Caenorhabditis elegans: one gene and its partners. The protein of the gene in region 1 interacts with the protein of each later gene in a pairwise test. Each region holds a gene or a part of one and is shown on either strand. Other genes may lie near its edges.

Region 1 (5,523 bases):
GTTCAATCTCGTCACCTCCACTTCCACCACCAGCTCCACCAAACTCCTTTATGTCTCCGGATAATCAGACGTTGTGGTGTAAGCTCTATGAGCAAACATGCCCACCGCCGGCAAAGGCAATCGATTTGAAGATGGTTAGCATTATTACGATTTGTAATGCCTCGGGTCCTGGCACGAACAAATTTTTTCAGCTATCGTACCCGCATATACGGTGGATTTCCGTTTTTATTGATATTTCTAGTGTAATAATTTAATAGAAAACTAATTAAAAACACAAAAAAGTACGAAGACTAGCGGGTACTCGAGATGAAAAGTATGCGGACGTGTCAAGACTTCGCTCCCAATTTAGCTTTAAAAATATTTAAGTTCGCAAAAAAATAATTCGATGAAATCGAATGTAATTTCTATTAAAATTATTTTCAAATTATGAATTACAGCTCCGAAACCTGCCTGGCCAAATCGGAATGTCTGAGCTGGAGCCGGAGGACCTTGAAGTTACACCGGACCCACCCGAATTCATTCCACCCCGGTCCCCAGGTCTCCAAATCATGAAGCCACCGCCCGTATCGCCTCCGTCTAACATTCCCGAGCTCATCCATCATCAACCGGCACTTGTCACACAACCCGAATCAAGACCAGATCCAAATTTGATCATTTTGCCGGCTCCAACTGATGTTCATCCGCCAAAGTCCCCGGTGCACCATGTTATCAAGCAAGAATCCATGAAGGACATCCCACCGGGATCACCTGCATCTCCAGGAGCATGGTCTGGCTCCAATAGCTCGTTGATCTTTATGCCATCTTCTACTCAAGCACCGGAACATTATGCTATTCCATCCGTTTCCAATGTTTTGATGTTTCGTAAAATGGAACACATTTTCTACAGCTCGGAATCCAACTGGTGGTTGCTCGTGGCACTGGTGATGCTCACAATTTTTGCGTACCGCTCTTCTATGGAACAACACACTTGCTATTACGATTGATGATTATGATTATAAAGATCTTTTTATTTGTAAATTATTTGTTTTAATACGAATTCGAAAAGTCTGCCATATGATAGAAAGTCCTATTCAAACTTCGCGCGTAAATGGTTCTCAATAAAGCGCGGTTGCACTACTCTTTTTTTGTCGCTCTTCGTCAACTTCTGGTAGCGTGAGCCCTTCAAATATCATCATTCAAATGCCCATTTTATCGATTTTATTGAATTTTAGTTATTTTAAATCCAATGATTATTCTCAAAATGAATTTCATAATCATCGGCTGGTGTTTTTGAAGGTTTCTAGTGTGTCCAAACGAAATTTATAGTCCTAAAATATTAACATTCAGTAATTCATAATTGCTTAAGAATTAAAAATTACCTTCTTTGTTCCTTGATATCAAGTATATAGTTTTAATATTAATTCAATATCTTTCAGGTAAGCTAAATCTACAAAATGTCATTTTTCCATTTCATCAATTGCTTCGCGTTGGCATTTGCACCATATTTTATTGTCTACAAATACTCAGGTAATATTTTTTATGGGAAGTCAATGAAACACCACTATTTTTATAGGAATTAACGAATACAGTTCCATCTGGAAATGTGCAACTGCTAGTGGTGGATATTTGCTGACACAACTCGCCAAACTGCTTATCATTGCCACATTTTTCCCAGCCCTCGACAGTGAAGGATTCAGTATTGTGCCGGTATGTAATTAATTTTTCTATTCAAAATTGGAGCTATAAATAACGTTTCAATGAAAATCATTTTAATTCAAGTTTTAAGTGAAATTTACCATAAACCCATCCTCGCCGGACATAATCCTTCGGACACTTCAAACTTATTGATTTTGGTTTTCATTGCCAATCTCAGAATCATTGCAGGAATTCCTAAAAAGCAGTGCTGACATCATCGATGTCATTGGGCTTCACCTTCTGATGACCAACTTCTTAGCCGGAAAAGGAGAAGTTCGATTCGTTGTCGGTGGTCTTGGCTGGGGATTCGCTCATTCTGTTGCTCATCGTCTTGTTCTTTTATGGGTTGGAGCTCGTGGAACCGCTTTCACATGGCGTTGGGTTCAGGTGATCAAATCTTCCTTTTTTCTGAAAAAAAGATAATATTATATTTTCAGACATCTCTTGATTCCTCAGCTGATCTATTGGTTATTGTGTCTCTCGCCTGCCTTACATGGATGATCACCCGCACTCCAAACAAGTTCTTGGTGTCACCGATCCTTGCGATGTGTGTCTTCTCAACATTCGTTTATCAGTAAGTATTGGTTTTACTAGTCAAAAAATGTAAATTTTTTTTTATTTCAGAACCGTTCAACACACATTCTCTCTCTACGGATGGTCTCTCTTGGCATTCCGCTTTGCCTACTCCATCGCAACAGCAATTCTCACCGTCGTTGTCTATTCGGCAAACCGGACAGCGTCCACAAGAAAGAACGAGTAGCAACACATATTCTGCTATAATTCACTTTTTGTCAGTTTCAATACTATCTTAGATTCTTTCAGAATTTATATATTTATTCGAAATTTTCTTCTCTCCTTGTTCATGTTTATACAAGTACCCAAAAATATTTATTGTTTAATTTAATAACTGCTTCAAAAATTGTCGTCCTTATATTTACTCTACAATTTTTATCTCTTTTTATTAAAGGTTAAATACCTTTATTACTTTGGCAAGTATTCGCTGTTCACTGTCCAAATAATGTATTCCTCTCCAATTCTAGATGTCAGAAATAGATCCACTTGCCGAGTTCTTGCTTCCAGAAGACGGAGATCGAAATGCTCGTCAAAATGATCCATTGATAAGCGGAGGTCCACTTCCATTGGAATCGCCAAGCAGAAAACTCACGTAATACTTTCTAAACTTGAAACAATTGTGCTACTCAAGATGCTTCCAGATCCCTGTTATCCTATGATCCGACAGTTCCGGAGTCACCGGATATGAAATTCGCCAGAAAACGTCTGGGAAATCTGCTGACAACCATAAAACATCACCCATCGGAAATAATTGGAGTACTCCCAGAAGATTATACGTAAGTGATAAAATGGAAAATTTCAATTCTTGTTTAATTTTCGGCAGAGTATACCATGCCTGGGGCGAAAAATCATTTTTTTTTTGGTTTTGATTTTGTATCAAAAAGCAAAAATATGTAAAAAAGCCAAAAAAAAATTGGAGATTGAATTTTAAACCTTAATATTTGAGAAAAAGAATTAAAAACTATGCAGAGCCACATTTAGTTTGAAAGAAAAGTAAAATAAATTTTGTACACAGAAAACGTTTACAGTAAATACAGCATTTTTTTTCAGTTTTTTGGTTCCAGATAAATAGTTAATTTTTGTCAAATGTCGCGTCCTGGAATATACATAACAGAAAAAAATTTAGACAATGTGGACCTTTTTGTTTTTCGTAATATAAATTTTAGACATAATTGAAAAATTAGAGTTTCCATTGCATTTTTTATAATTTCAGTCGTGCTGATGAAGAGCCCGGGCGCCAAGGACGTCCACCAGGTCGCCCTCGTAAGATGCCGCGTCACGAATCTTCAACTTCACTTATGGAATCACCACGCAAGACTATGACTCGTGATTCTAAAATTATGTTTGAATTGCGTGGAAAACCATTCGAAATGATAGCTGGACGTTTTGAAGAAGAATATTCACTTGGTAGAGCATGGGTTAAAGGACACATGAATAATGAATATGAACCAATAAAAGCTCAAAGGACAGACTATGCACCGAATCTGGCTGTTGTGAGTGGGAAAGATTAAATGAAAAATGTTATAATTATTTCCTTCAGGATTATCTTGCATGTCGCGAGATTCATCGAATGCCACGTCCAGATAAATCAATTCCTGAGCTGCCAATTGTTCCATCTAGAATCGATGAATTCGACGCTACAGTCGATCCAAGATATGAAACAGATTTGAAAAATGAATACATTCGTCATTGGAAACAAGTCAAAAAAGGGTAACACTTCTTCTGCCATTGAAAATTTCCGTAAAAATTTATTTCTTAAAGTATTACGGTAACTGTGCTCTATGTTAGAATTTCATTTGTCGAATTTTGTATCAAACTATAAAATAAAAAATATTGTACTAGCAATCTGTGATCACTACTATTTCTTCAAAGTCAGAGAATCCAAAAAAAAAAATTTCAGTTGGTGTGCTCATCAACGTCGTCGGACTGCTCCCCATGCAAGAAGCATAGCATTAATCAACAAAATCTACCAGCCTGGAGAGTCGAAAACTGTCGAGCAAGCACTTGGTCTTATTTAAATATTCTAACATGTAATTTCAATTTATCTCTTACTTTCTGATCTTGCTATCACATGTCTCTTATTTCAAAAATCTCACTTTAAAATTCATATAAATAATGGGTTTATTCAAATACATCATCTTGACAATTGTTTTTTCAACGTTTTTCTTCCACTTTTTGGAGATTTTCCTGAAGTTTTCTCGAGCTCGTCAGCTACTTTTTCTTGTTGAATCTTGTTAATATATTTTGCAACTTCTCGTTCGGCAGTTTTCATCAAAGCTTCTATAGCGAATACAGTCTGAAATAGAAATATTTTGAGAATATTCAGATTTTTGAATTTTCACTTGAAATCCACTAAAAATCACAATCATTGTGTAGAAAACGTATTCAAGTGGGAGATTCAGAAAAGAGCCATTCACTGCCAAGAATACTGTAAGAGGAATTTGAATAATAATTGTAGTTATTAAGAATCCAAAAAGAGCTGACATCTGTAAACACTAGTGTCGATTTTCTGACTTGACTCATTCAAAACTTACATTTTCTGCCAAATTTCCATAAAATCCAAGTCCTAGCCGTACTCCTTCACTTCCCAAATGAACTAAACACGCAGAAAATGCAATTACTTGATACGTTAATGACAGCAGACTATGCTGAAATTCAAATAATGCTCTAAGTATGTTCCACTGTAATTTTTTTTTTTACCTTGAAGTATAATGATAAGCATAGATTAATCAAATGCATAGGATAGATGCATAAGTTGAAATATATTGCAATTTGAAGTGGAAAACTTGAGATTATTTCTGTAATAATTTTTTAAAAAAGTTGTGAAAAGTGGTTTTTAGAGATTCTCACCCAACTTAAATGGTTCTTGTGATAGATTTTCCATTTTTAATAGCACTAGGACCCCAAAGAGGTTACGAGGCGGTGGGCGGTTACTATGGAAACCAACCACAGAAAGGGAAATGGTGCTCCAATGTGGAGATGGAGATGGAAATGTGTAAAACGAATTGAGAAAATGTTAAGCTACAATTTCAGCTATTTCTTTATGAGCAAAATATAATTCGTCAAAACATGAACCTAAACTTTTAAAACAATGTTTCGCGAAAATTTTAACCATTGATTGTTCATAGTTTTTTTTTAAAATGATTTTATCCCTTCATTTAGCTCTGCAATCAGGCTCGTCTTAAATGTGGCATTACGTTCTCGGGTCTTGCCACGAGCTAAAATTTTCAGCTACCGGACTTGCTAATATTTTGCAACTTCACATTGAGGGTTTAT
Region 2 (4,683 bases), on another chromosome or scaffold:
CAAACGATAACCCGACTGAAATTTTTGAAATTTCATAGGTTAAACAAATACAACTTATTAGGAAAAAACTTACTCATCCGATCCACTACTAGCCAGAACAGTTTCATAATGCGGGCTGAACGATACTTGAAATATTTCGTCGTTGTGATGTTTCAGCGTGTACATTTTTTTGCGCATATTCCTCATATCCCACAAAGCAACCGTTTTATCAACAGATCCGGTTGCTAAAATGTATTCGGAAAACGGATTGAAAGTAATACAATTAACTTCTGCAGTATGTCCGACGGCTGTGAGCTGTGGCTTTGATTGACGCAGATCCCATAGGTTTCTAAAGACGTGAAAATTATTTTGAAATCTCGACAGAATGGTATGATGTATTTATACTTACAGTTTTCTATCATCTCCAACAGATCCAAAAACGAAATTATGGAGCGCGTGAAAAGAAACATCCTCCGCATTTGATGAATGACCTTTAAACTTGCTTTGTGGCACTATTTGACCGGAAATGGTCTGATTCGCGTTTATATCCCAGTGGCAAATCTTAAAAAATGTATATTTATGTATATCTTTTGTTAGAAATACCATTCCGTCATCGCCGGCAGTTAGCAAATGTCCCTCTCTGGTGTTGCTCCACGACATTCCATATCCTTCGCCTTCATGGCCTTTCAATCGCAATTGAGGTCGAAATTTGGTGTCTTTTGGTTCAGATGGGTGCTTCGTGTAGTCGAAAATATAAACGTCATCAGAAGGACCTCGACTTGCAATAATGAAAGGATTATGTGGCATGTAACGTGCCCTATGAACTTCTCCTGGATGGTTGATTTTAATCTCAGTATCCCATTTTGCAGCGCTGCCCTCTCCATAACCTCCGAACTCTTCACGTTCCGAATCCCATTTAGCGTCGTCGAATTCTGGTGTGTCTGTCGTTATTGTGAACTTTGAGATCATGAGATGATTCTGAACTCCTCCACAAGTATGTGTTCCATGAATCATTCGATGCATCGATGAATCCGAGTTCTCTGTCTTAAAAAAATAATGAAGAAGGCGAAATCATATTTACCGATTCTTACTTTTGTGACATCAGGCATCCATTGCACTGATAAAGAAGGCCACTCGACCTCTTTTGTGACGACTGTATCGTAGAGATATGGAACATTTTTCTTCCAAATTCTATGTTCTTTACTCGTTTCTTCACACGATTCAGCTTCACTCATTGTGCTCTGAAATTGCCTGAAATAACAAAAGATACAACAAAAAACCAAAAATATCACAATCTGAGCTATCACAACAATCACGTTAACATAATATTTCAAAACAGTTATCTGACAATGGTCATCGAATTTATTTCAGGTTCAACAAAATATGATCATATCTCAAGGTAACATTTTAACTTTAAAAACTTAGTTGGTGAAGAATATGCGTTTGAATAAATGGTAAGATGAACAATTTGTTGAGATGCAAAATTAAAGAAGGATAGAAGTTAAATACAAATAATTTAAGCGCGTTTCACGTATTTTACTGTTGTCTCTCTACCACATCGGCTGGAGTTTCTTCGTCAACTTCGTTGTATATGTTATCAGCCATTTGCCACACTTGGAGAATATTGTCTTCTGACACACTGCACACAACCCAAGGCTCGTTCGGGTTCCACGAGAAATCGCTGATCTTGGCGGTGTGCCCACCGTGAATAAACAACAGCTCTGGTGGACCATCTTCCGCGTCTTCGGCAGATTGGTCTTCTCCAATCTTAGATAGGTCCCACACATGAAGACGTTTATCAGTACCGCTGGATGCAAGAATAGTCTCGTTGTGTGGACTCCACTGAACTTGGAAGATTTCATCACGATGTGATTCAAATGAGTGAAGTTTCATTCGTAGATTACGTAGATCCCAAAGAGCGACAGTTTTATCAGCTGATCCGGTGGCCAGAATGAATTCGGAATATGGATTGAATGCGAGACAGTTAACTTCGGCAGAATGAGCATCGATACAGTGTCCAGGAGTGCTTGTGCGCACATCCCAAATGAGCCTATAATTTTTAATTAGTTAATAAATAGAAAAAAAACAAAAGCTTACAATTTCTTATCGTCACCAACCGATCCGAAGACACCATCATGCAAAACGTGCCAAGCAACATCTTCAACGACTGACTCGTGACCTTTGAAAACATCCTTCGCTTGCAATTCCCCGGCAACATTCTGATTTGCGTTGATATCCCAATGACAAACTGTCTGATCATCTGACGCTGATAGAATCAAACCTTCTTTGTTTGGATTCCATGATAATCCATAGCCTTCCTTCGTGTGTCCTTTCAGTCTGATAAGCGGATTGAACGTGTTATCACGAGGAACAGCAGAGTGCTTTAAATAGTCGAAAATGTAAACATCAGCATGTGGAGACTTTGTAGCAATGATATTCGACTTTTGAGGCATGTAACGAGCTCTGTTAACCTCCCCTTCGTGGTTAATGCGAATATCGGGTTCCACTTTTCCGTTAACAGCTCCGAAACCACCGTATTCACTGCGCTCGGTATCGTAGCGAGATGCATCAAATTGGGCATCATCCGTTGGCATACAGATCTTAGAAATAAGCAAGTGATTCTGCTCATCTGAAGTATGAGTTCCAAGAATGAGCCGATGAATAGTATGGTCGCTGTTATCCTAAATTATTTGAATTCACTTCATGAAAGTTGTGAATTATATGAGAACACATACCTTCGCAACGTCTGGGAGCCATTGAACACTGAGTGAAGGCCACTCAAGCGCATGTGTCATTACGAGATCGTACAAGAACGGGGTGTTCTTTTTCCAAATTTTGTATTCATCATTTGCGACGCGATCTTCGGAGGTTCCATCTTCAAGAGTGGCCATTTCCTGAAATTTTCAATTTTTGCAAAGAATAATTATCGTTCAAACAGTGTAGTTAGATAAAATAATACAACAAAGAAGGGGTGAATAATAAAATATTAATTCAATTGAATTTAAATATATTAAAACAGAGAATTTTAATGCGGGAAAGTGACCAAAACTGTAGAAGACCGATAAAACCCACTTTCAAAGTGTGTGCGCGTCGCGGTTTTCGCGGGGAGGGGTCTCGCAACGATTTGCCTTCACCGCTGTTGCAAGGTACGGTAGAGCATGTTTGGCTCATTTGAATTCCGCTCAGAAAACTCATGCAGTTTTCTCCCTACTCGGGTATTATATATCATCAATTCTGGTTTAATTCTATCGATTTCTGTAGAATCATGATAGTTTGTGTTATTAAATAATTCCTACTCCGAAAGATCTTTCATCCTAATTTGCACAGGATTCTCGTGATTTTGAGCTTAAGATATGTTTTTTTCAGATGCAGGATGAAATCATCGATTTTTTCCGAAGTCCGGCTCTTCTTTTCTACATGACTTTAATGTTAACCATTTGTGTAGTAAGTTGTTGGTAATGATTTAGAAGATGAACTCTCCATATTTAGGTGAACGGGTCCCAGCAAGTTGGAGAAGTCGTAGAAACCGAGTTTCATGCGTACCGTCTTCATCAATACGAAATCAGTGGTAACATTTATGGATGCAAAAATTATCGCGTATCATATGAAGCTGTTTCCTTGGGTGCAAGAACTCTTCGCAGGTTTTTTTGGATATTTCATTTGTAAATAGTAATATTTTAATATCTAGAACTATGGTTACAACATGGCGAGATCTTCTTACAACAGATGTCGATGACATGTGGGCACTTTCTACCGGTGCCGTGCTTATTTTCATTCCCGACAATCTTGATGAACTTAACGATATTGATCGGAAGGTTAGCTTGAACATTTAATTTCATATTGCCATAAAAGTTATTTATGCTCATTATTCAGGCATTCATCGATCTTGAAGCAAAGTTGTTGAGCGCAAAGACCGACTTGGCTGTTTATGTGGCTCCTTTCAATGATGACGCCGTTTCTATTCTTCACGATGTCAATACTCGCTCGGAAAAAGCTCCCACAGCCCTGCAACATTTGCTTCAATCACTTTCCGGAAACACAATCAGTATCACTTCTTCCGATCAAAGTCCAGAACTTCCACCTTCATACAAACCACTGAATATTGTTGGTCGCTTGAGTAGTGGAGATCGTGCTGCACCTACGATTGCATTTGTGGCACACTATGACACACAATCGGCCGTTCCAGGAGTCTCGCCTGGCGCTGATTCCAATGGGTCTGGTATAGTTGCACTTCTCGAATTGCTTGCTGTTCTGTCAAAATTCTATGATTCTCCAAGCACACGTCCTCCATACAATATTTTGTTCATTTGGACAGCAGCTGGAAAGCTCAATTATCAAGGAACTCGTCACTGGATCGATGAGTACCAGAAAGGCTTTGACAGCGCTGATTATGCCAAATCTGGACTTTCTAGAAAAGGTAATGCAGTAAAAGGAGAGTGTCGTTTTACCGGTTTTGAAGGGTTTTCAGATGATCGTGTTGACTTGGCAATATGTATTGAGGCAATTGGTCGCAAAACGGGAGGATTTTTCATGCATGCTGGAAAGACACCATCAGAAAATTCAGTAGCAGCTCAACTTCTCAGAAGACTTAAGTACTGTTTTAAAAGTTTATTGATTTTAATCGTTCGTAAGATATTTCAGCAGCATTTCTCCAAAGAAGAATATAGAGTTGGTAACGAAAAAAATCTCTTTGACGACAGTAAG
Region 3 (4,105 bases), 3.7 Mb from region 1:
ACGCTGTTCTGACCGACATCGAGCTCCACAAATATCGGGGTACGTCCTTGGCGAACCGAATAGTTGCACAGAATACGGGAGACTGTGGTTTTTCCGACGTCCGTTGGTCCAACTGGAAAATTAATTATTTTTTGGGTTAAAAATCAGTAAAAAACCGGAAAACAAGGTTTTTTCTACATTTTTCGAAGCCAAACATAAAAATAAATTACTTAAATTCCGAAAAAAAATAAAATAAAAAGGTGGGCGGGCCGTGCGGCACGGTTGCAAAACAACCGTGCCAGGCTTGCAAATAGCCCCCGCCCCTTGAAAATATTGATTTTTCCAGTATTTCAAATGATTTTTACTCGATTTTCCTGCAGAAACCACAGAAATTTTCAGTTTTTCGACGAAAAATCTCCAAAAAAAGCCTAGAATCAGCTCACCCAACAGCAATCTCGGTCCTTTTGCCTTATTCGAGTTTCCAGCCGCCTGTTCCTCTCTCTTCTTCCGAACTTCTTCCATAGCTGCGTGAATATTCAGATAAATGACCATCGGAGTGCTCTCGGCAACGTATGCGCTCTCGGTTGTGCCGACGAGCTCAATTGTGGCGCCTTTCCACGTGAACGCCGCCACACGAGATTCTGAGGAAAAATTGGGTTTTAAATGGCAGAAAATGGGCCGAAATTGACTTTTATGGCCAAATCCATTGGTGTTTCTCAATTTTTTTCTGTGATATTTGATTTAAAACACTGTTTTCCAGACTTTTCCGCATAAAACAAATGATTACATCTGAAATTATCGATTTTTAGGCCAAGTTTCAAGATGAAGTTTCAGCGAATTTCTCTACTTTAACCGCAAAGAAACACGCTAAAACTTGGAAATTGACCTAAAAGTCGATAATTTCACAGAAATTTGTGCTTTTTCTGCGGAAACATTAGGAAAACAGTGTTTCAAGCGAAATATTACAGAAAAAAAACGGAGAAAGAGCAATAAATATAGCCAGAAAACGGGAGTTTTTGAAAAGTTGAAAAAAAATCCAGATTTCGAGGAAAACTTACTGGCTGGAAATGTATATTTCTTATTTAACAGCAGTTCTGTGCCAAAAATTTCAGCGTATCCCTTGACGAGCTCCAGACAGACATCCGAATCGTCTCCGGCGGCAAATCTCAGCTCACAGTCCTCTTTCAAAACGAACTCTTGAACATTCTCCTCGCTCATTTCTTTGGAATCTGAAAATGAGGCTTTATTGATTTTTTAATTTTCAGGAAAAAACGCGGAATTAGATAAAGCAAAGACATAGTTAATTTACAAAAAATTTGGGATGCGGAAAACTACAAAAGAAGAAAAAAACAATGGGTTTATTATTTTTGGAGGAGAGAAACCTCAAAACAGAACAAAAAACTAAGGAAAATAAACGAGCTGAAAGAAAATGTGCTACTTATTTAGATTACCTAAAAACGTCAACAGTAAAGTTATAAAAGACAGAAAAAACAAAACAATTGAAAAAATTTCAGAAAGCAATCTATTTGGAGATGAACTTCTTGATCTTGTCGAGAAGTCCAACGTATTGAGAGTGCTCGTAGTGAGTGGCATAGGCGACGAGAGTCTTGCAGAACCGAGCATCGAGACCGCGTTCTTCCAAATAACGAACGAACAGGAGATCGTGGAGGTCCTGGAATTAGAAAAAATCAATAATTTGCGGTCCTCTTGGGACTACTAACTGGATCGATATATTTTCCACTGCTAGCGTACACCTCGGATGGTACGTCCTCGTTTCCATTCTTGGCAGATGGGGCGACGTAGAACTCTTCGACGCGGAAATCATCTATAAATAGTATATATTTTATTCGAGTTTTCGATAAAATCGAGTATTACACTCATCAGGTTGATCGTCAACTGGCACAAGCTCGAGATGGAAGCAAAGTCTCTGATCTCCCTTGGTAATCTCGACGGTGAATGGTGGCATGGCTACTGGAACTGGAGCGACGGCCTGGGATGGCTCATCGTCGAATCCTTCGTCCATATCGACAGAGTGGTTCACATTGAAGACGACGAGAATGCTTTAAAAAAATTAACTTTAGAACTATGAAAAATTCTGAAAAAAACGAACTCTTCGCTTCCATTCTTCTTGGTCAGCCTAACTTCGGCGTCCTTATTGGTGACTTGGAAGCCAGCAAATGTCGGCGCAACGGCTCCTTGAAGATTGTCGCTGCTCAGCTGTTGCTCGGCTTCGATCTCACGGTTCAGGGCCTGTTGAAGTTCTGGCGTTACTGACAGAACCTTGGCCGATTGTGAGAAATGGCGTGGAGCGGCCATTCTGACGACCTGGGATGAACGGAGAGCCACTCGGGACAGGGAGCGAACAAGGGAAGCAGTGTTCATTTTACCTGAAAGAAGAAAAAAATAGAAAATTACATTTTCCAAAAATGATGCAAGTTTTTATCGAGCTAAAAATCAAGATTATCAGGTTATAAAGCGTTTCTAATTGATTTTAGGCTAATTTAGTTGTCAAAAATCAATAATTTCAATGAAAAACCTCGAAAAAATCAGTGGAAGCGTGCAGAACCGAAGAAAAAGCGAGAGAATATGCGAAAAGCCGACGAAAATAATTCAAATAGAGCCTTTCGTGGCAAGATATCTTCGCCGCAAAATGGCATGCGCCTTTAACTTGGCGCGCTTTGGAATTGTGTTCAAACGTTTTTCAGCCATATTTTCTCATTTTAAATCGATTTTTTCTTGTTTAAAATGATTTTAAAGTGCGTTTTCTTTGAAATTATTGACTATTGGGCTTAAAATTATATAATAAAACTGAAAATTGCCAGAAAAATCGATTTTTTGTTGTAAAAACATGGAATAGAGCTGCGCAGCTGGCGCGATGAGTCATGAGTCATTTGAAAAAGCAGCATTGCGAAATTTATGTTTAGAATTTTTTGAAGATTATTGATTAAACTAGGAGATTATCGATTTTAAGGAATATTTTTATACTTTTGAATTTTCGAATTTCGTGTTTCTGGCTAAAATCGTTGGTTTTTCTCGATTTTTCATTAATTTTCAGTTTTTCAGAAGTTTTTTCGTCTAGAAAACTTGTTTTCTGGCATTTTTCGGAATTTTTGAAGCTTCAGTGTATTTATTTCGAGGTCATAGCGTTTTTTAAACGGAAAAACTCTTTAAAATTCGAAAAATCATGTTTTAAATCAAATAATAATGAAAAATCTAGAAAAACCGATCTAGAAAACATTTATTTGCGCGGGAATTCAAAAATTATTCGGTTTTTTGTTGGAAAAATTAAAAAATCAAACAAAATTCAGGAAATCTTTATTAATTTTTCAGCAGTAATGTCCTGTATAGTGAGGATTTTTTCTGTCATTTAGGGCAAAAACTGGCGTACTTTCAAATTTAAAAAACCATTTTTTCGGTATTTCATAGTGTTTAGACCCCAAATTCCGTTCCCAAAACCTCCCAGAAATTAAATCGTATTCCGTATTCCGTCGGAATATCTTGTTTATCGGCAAGTCATCATATATACCTCCTCATTCCAATGTCCTTTCACACACATTCGAAAGGAACTGTCTCCGTATAAATACACAACGAATGGGAACTGTCTTCTCTCCGTCTCTTCACTCTCTTCACTGCTTCTCCCGTCGTTCCGAAGAATATCGATTGTTTTTCCGCTCTTTTCCGTTTATGTTATGTTTGCCAGTCATGTGAATCACTTCATAACGTTTTTTCTGCTTTCCGGAGAGAATTCTCCATTTTCTGCTACAGTTTTGAGGAAAAAAAAATTGCATTTCGTCGCATTTAATGTGAATTTTGGCCGGGGGAAAATATTAAACAATCTACATTTTTATACCGGGAATTGGGTGGGCGGCAAGTGCTGTTCGGCAAATCGCCAAATTGCCGGTTTGCCGATTTGCCGGAAATGTGTAGAGGCACTTTTTATAAGACGGAACCACTTAAAACTGCCTTTTTGGAATTTATATCCCGCTTTTTAAAGAAATTTTCATAGAAGTTGCTTATTTTTCAAAATAGACGTAGGAACATTCATAGGGTGCGTACAATTTTGCCGATTTAAATTGAAATTCTGAAATTTCCAAAAAAAGGTGCAAAACCACATTTTGCCGAAAAT

The links. Proteins that work in one complex are often made in the same cells at the same time.
Region 2: the proteins of lin-37 (region 1) and lin-53 interact in a two-hybrid assay, tested with the Caenorhabditis elegans proteins (4 studies listed by BioGRID).
Region 3: the proteins of lin-37 (region 1) and cri-3 interact in a two-hybrid assay, tested with the Caenorhabditis elegans proteins (3 studies listed by BioGRID).

Annotation. Positions count from the first base shown.
Region 1 is NC_003281.10:7,069,744-7,075,266, reverse strand, and holds lin-37 (uncharacterized protein), read left to right. Parts: upstream 1-2,714; coding exon 2,715-2,839; intron 2,840-2,888; coding exon 2,889-3,023; intron 3,024-3,460; coding exon 3,461-3,740; intron 3,741-3,787; coding exon 3,788-3,957; intron 3,958-4,147; coding exon 4,148-4,265; 3' UTR 4,266-4,377; downstream 4,378-5,523. Other genes in the region: ZK418.13 (Pollen-specific leucine-rich repeat extensin-like protein 1), read left to right, coding at 1-134, 438-983; ZK418.5 (BOS complex subunit TMEM147), read left to right, coding at 1,434-1,506, 1,553-1,686, 1,864-2,061, 2,112-2,248, 2,299-2,434; tmem-17 (transmembrane 17 domain-containing protein), read right to left, coding at 4,382-4,543, 4,611-4,733, 4,782-4,895, 4,948-4,986.
Region 2 is NC_003279.8:9,616,888-9,621,570, forward strand, and holds lin-53 (putative histone-binding protein lin-53), read right to left. Parts: upstream 2,874-4,683; 5' UTR 2,871-2,873; coding exon 2,715-2,870; intron 2,661-2,714; coding exon 2,077-2,660; intron 2,030-2,076; coding exon 1,516-2,029; 3' UTR 1,324-1,515; downstream 1-1,323. Other genes in the region: putative histone-binding protein rba-1, read right to left, coding at 1-15, 74-328, 389-540, 583-1,023, 1,071-1,214; nra-2 (Nicalin), read left to right, coding at 3,346-3,423, 3,469-3,620, 3,668-3,794, 3,853-4,396, 4,439-4,571, 4,612-4,683. UniProt on the Caenorhabditis elegans protein: Core histone-binding subunit that may target chromatin assembly factors, chromatin remodeling factors and histone deacetylases to their histone substrates in a manner that is regulated by nucleosomal DNA.
Region 3 is NC_003281.10:3,394,846-3,398,950, reverse strand, and holds cri-3 (Conserved regulator of innate immunity protein 3), read right to left. Parts: upstream 2,367-4,105; 5' UTR 2,362-2,366; coding exon 2,090-2,361; intron 2,040-2,089; coding exon 1,855-2,039; intron 1,805-1,854; coding exon 1,701-1,804; intron 1,652-1,700; coding exon 1,502-1,651; 3' UTR 1,324-1,501; downstream 1-1,323. Other genes in the region: Protein clpf-1, read right to left, coding at 1-112, 423-620, 1,038-1,197.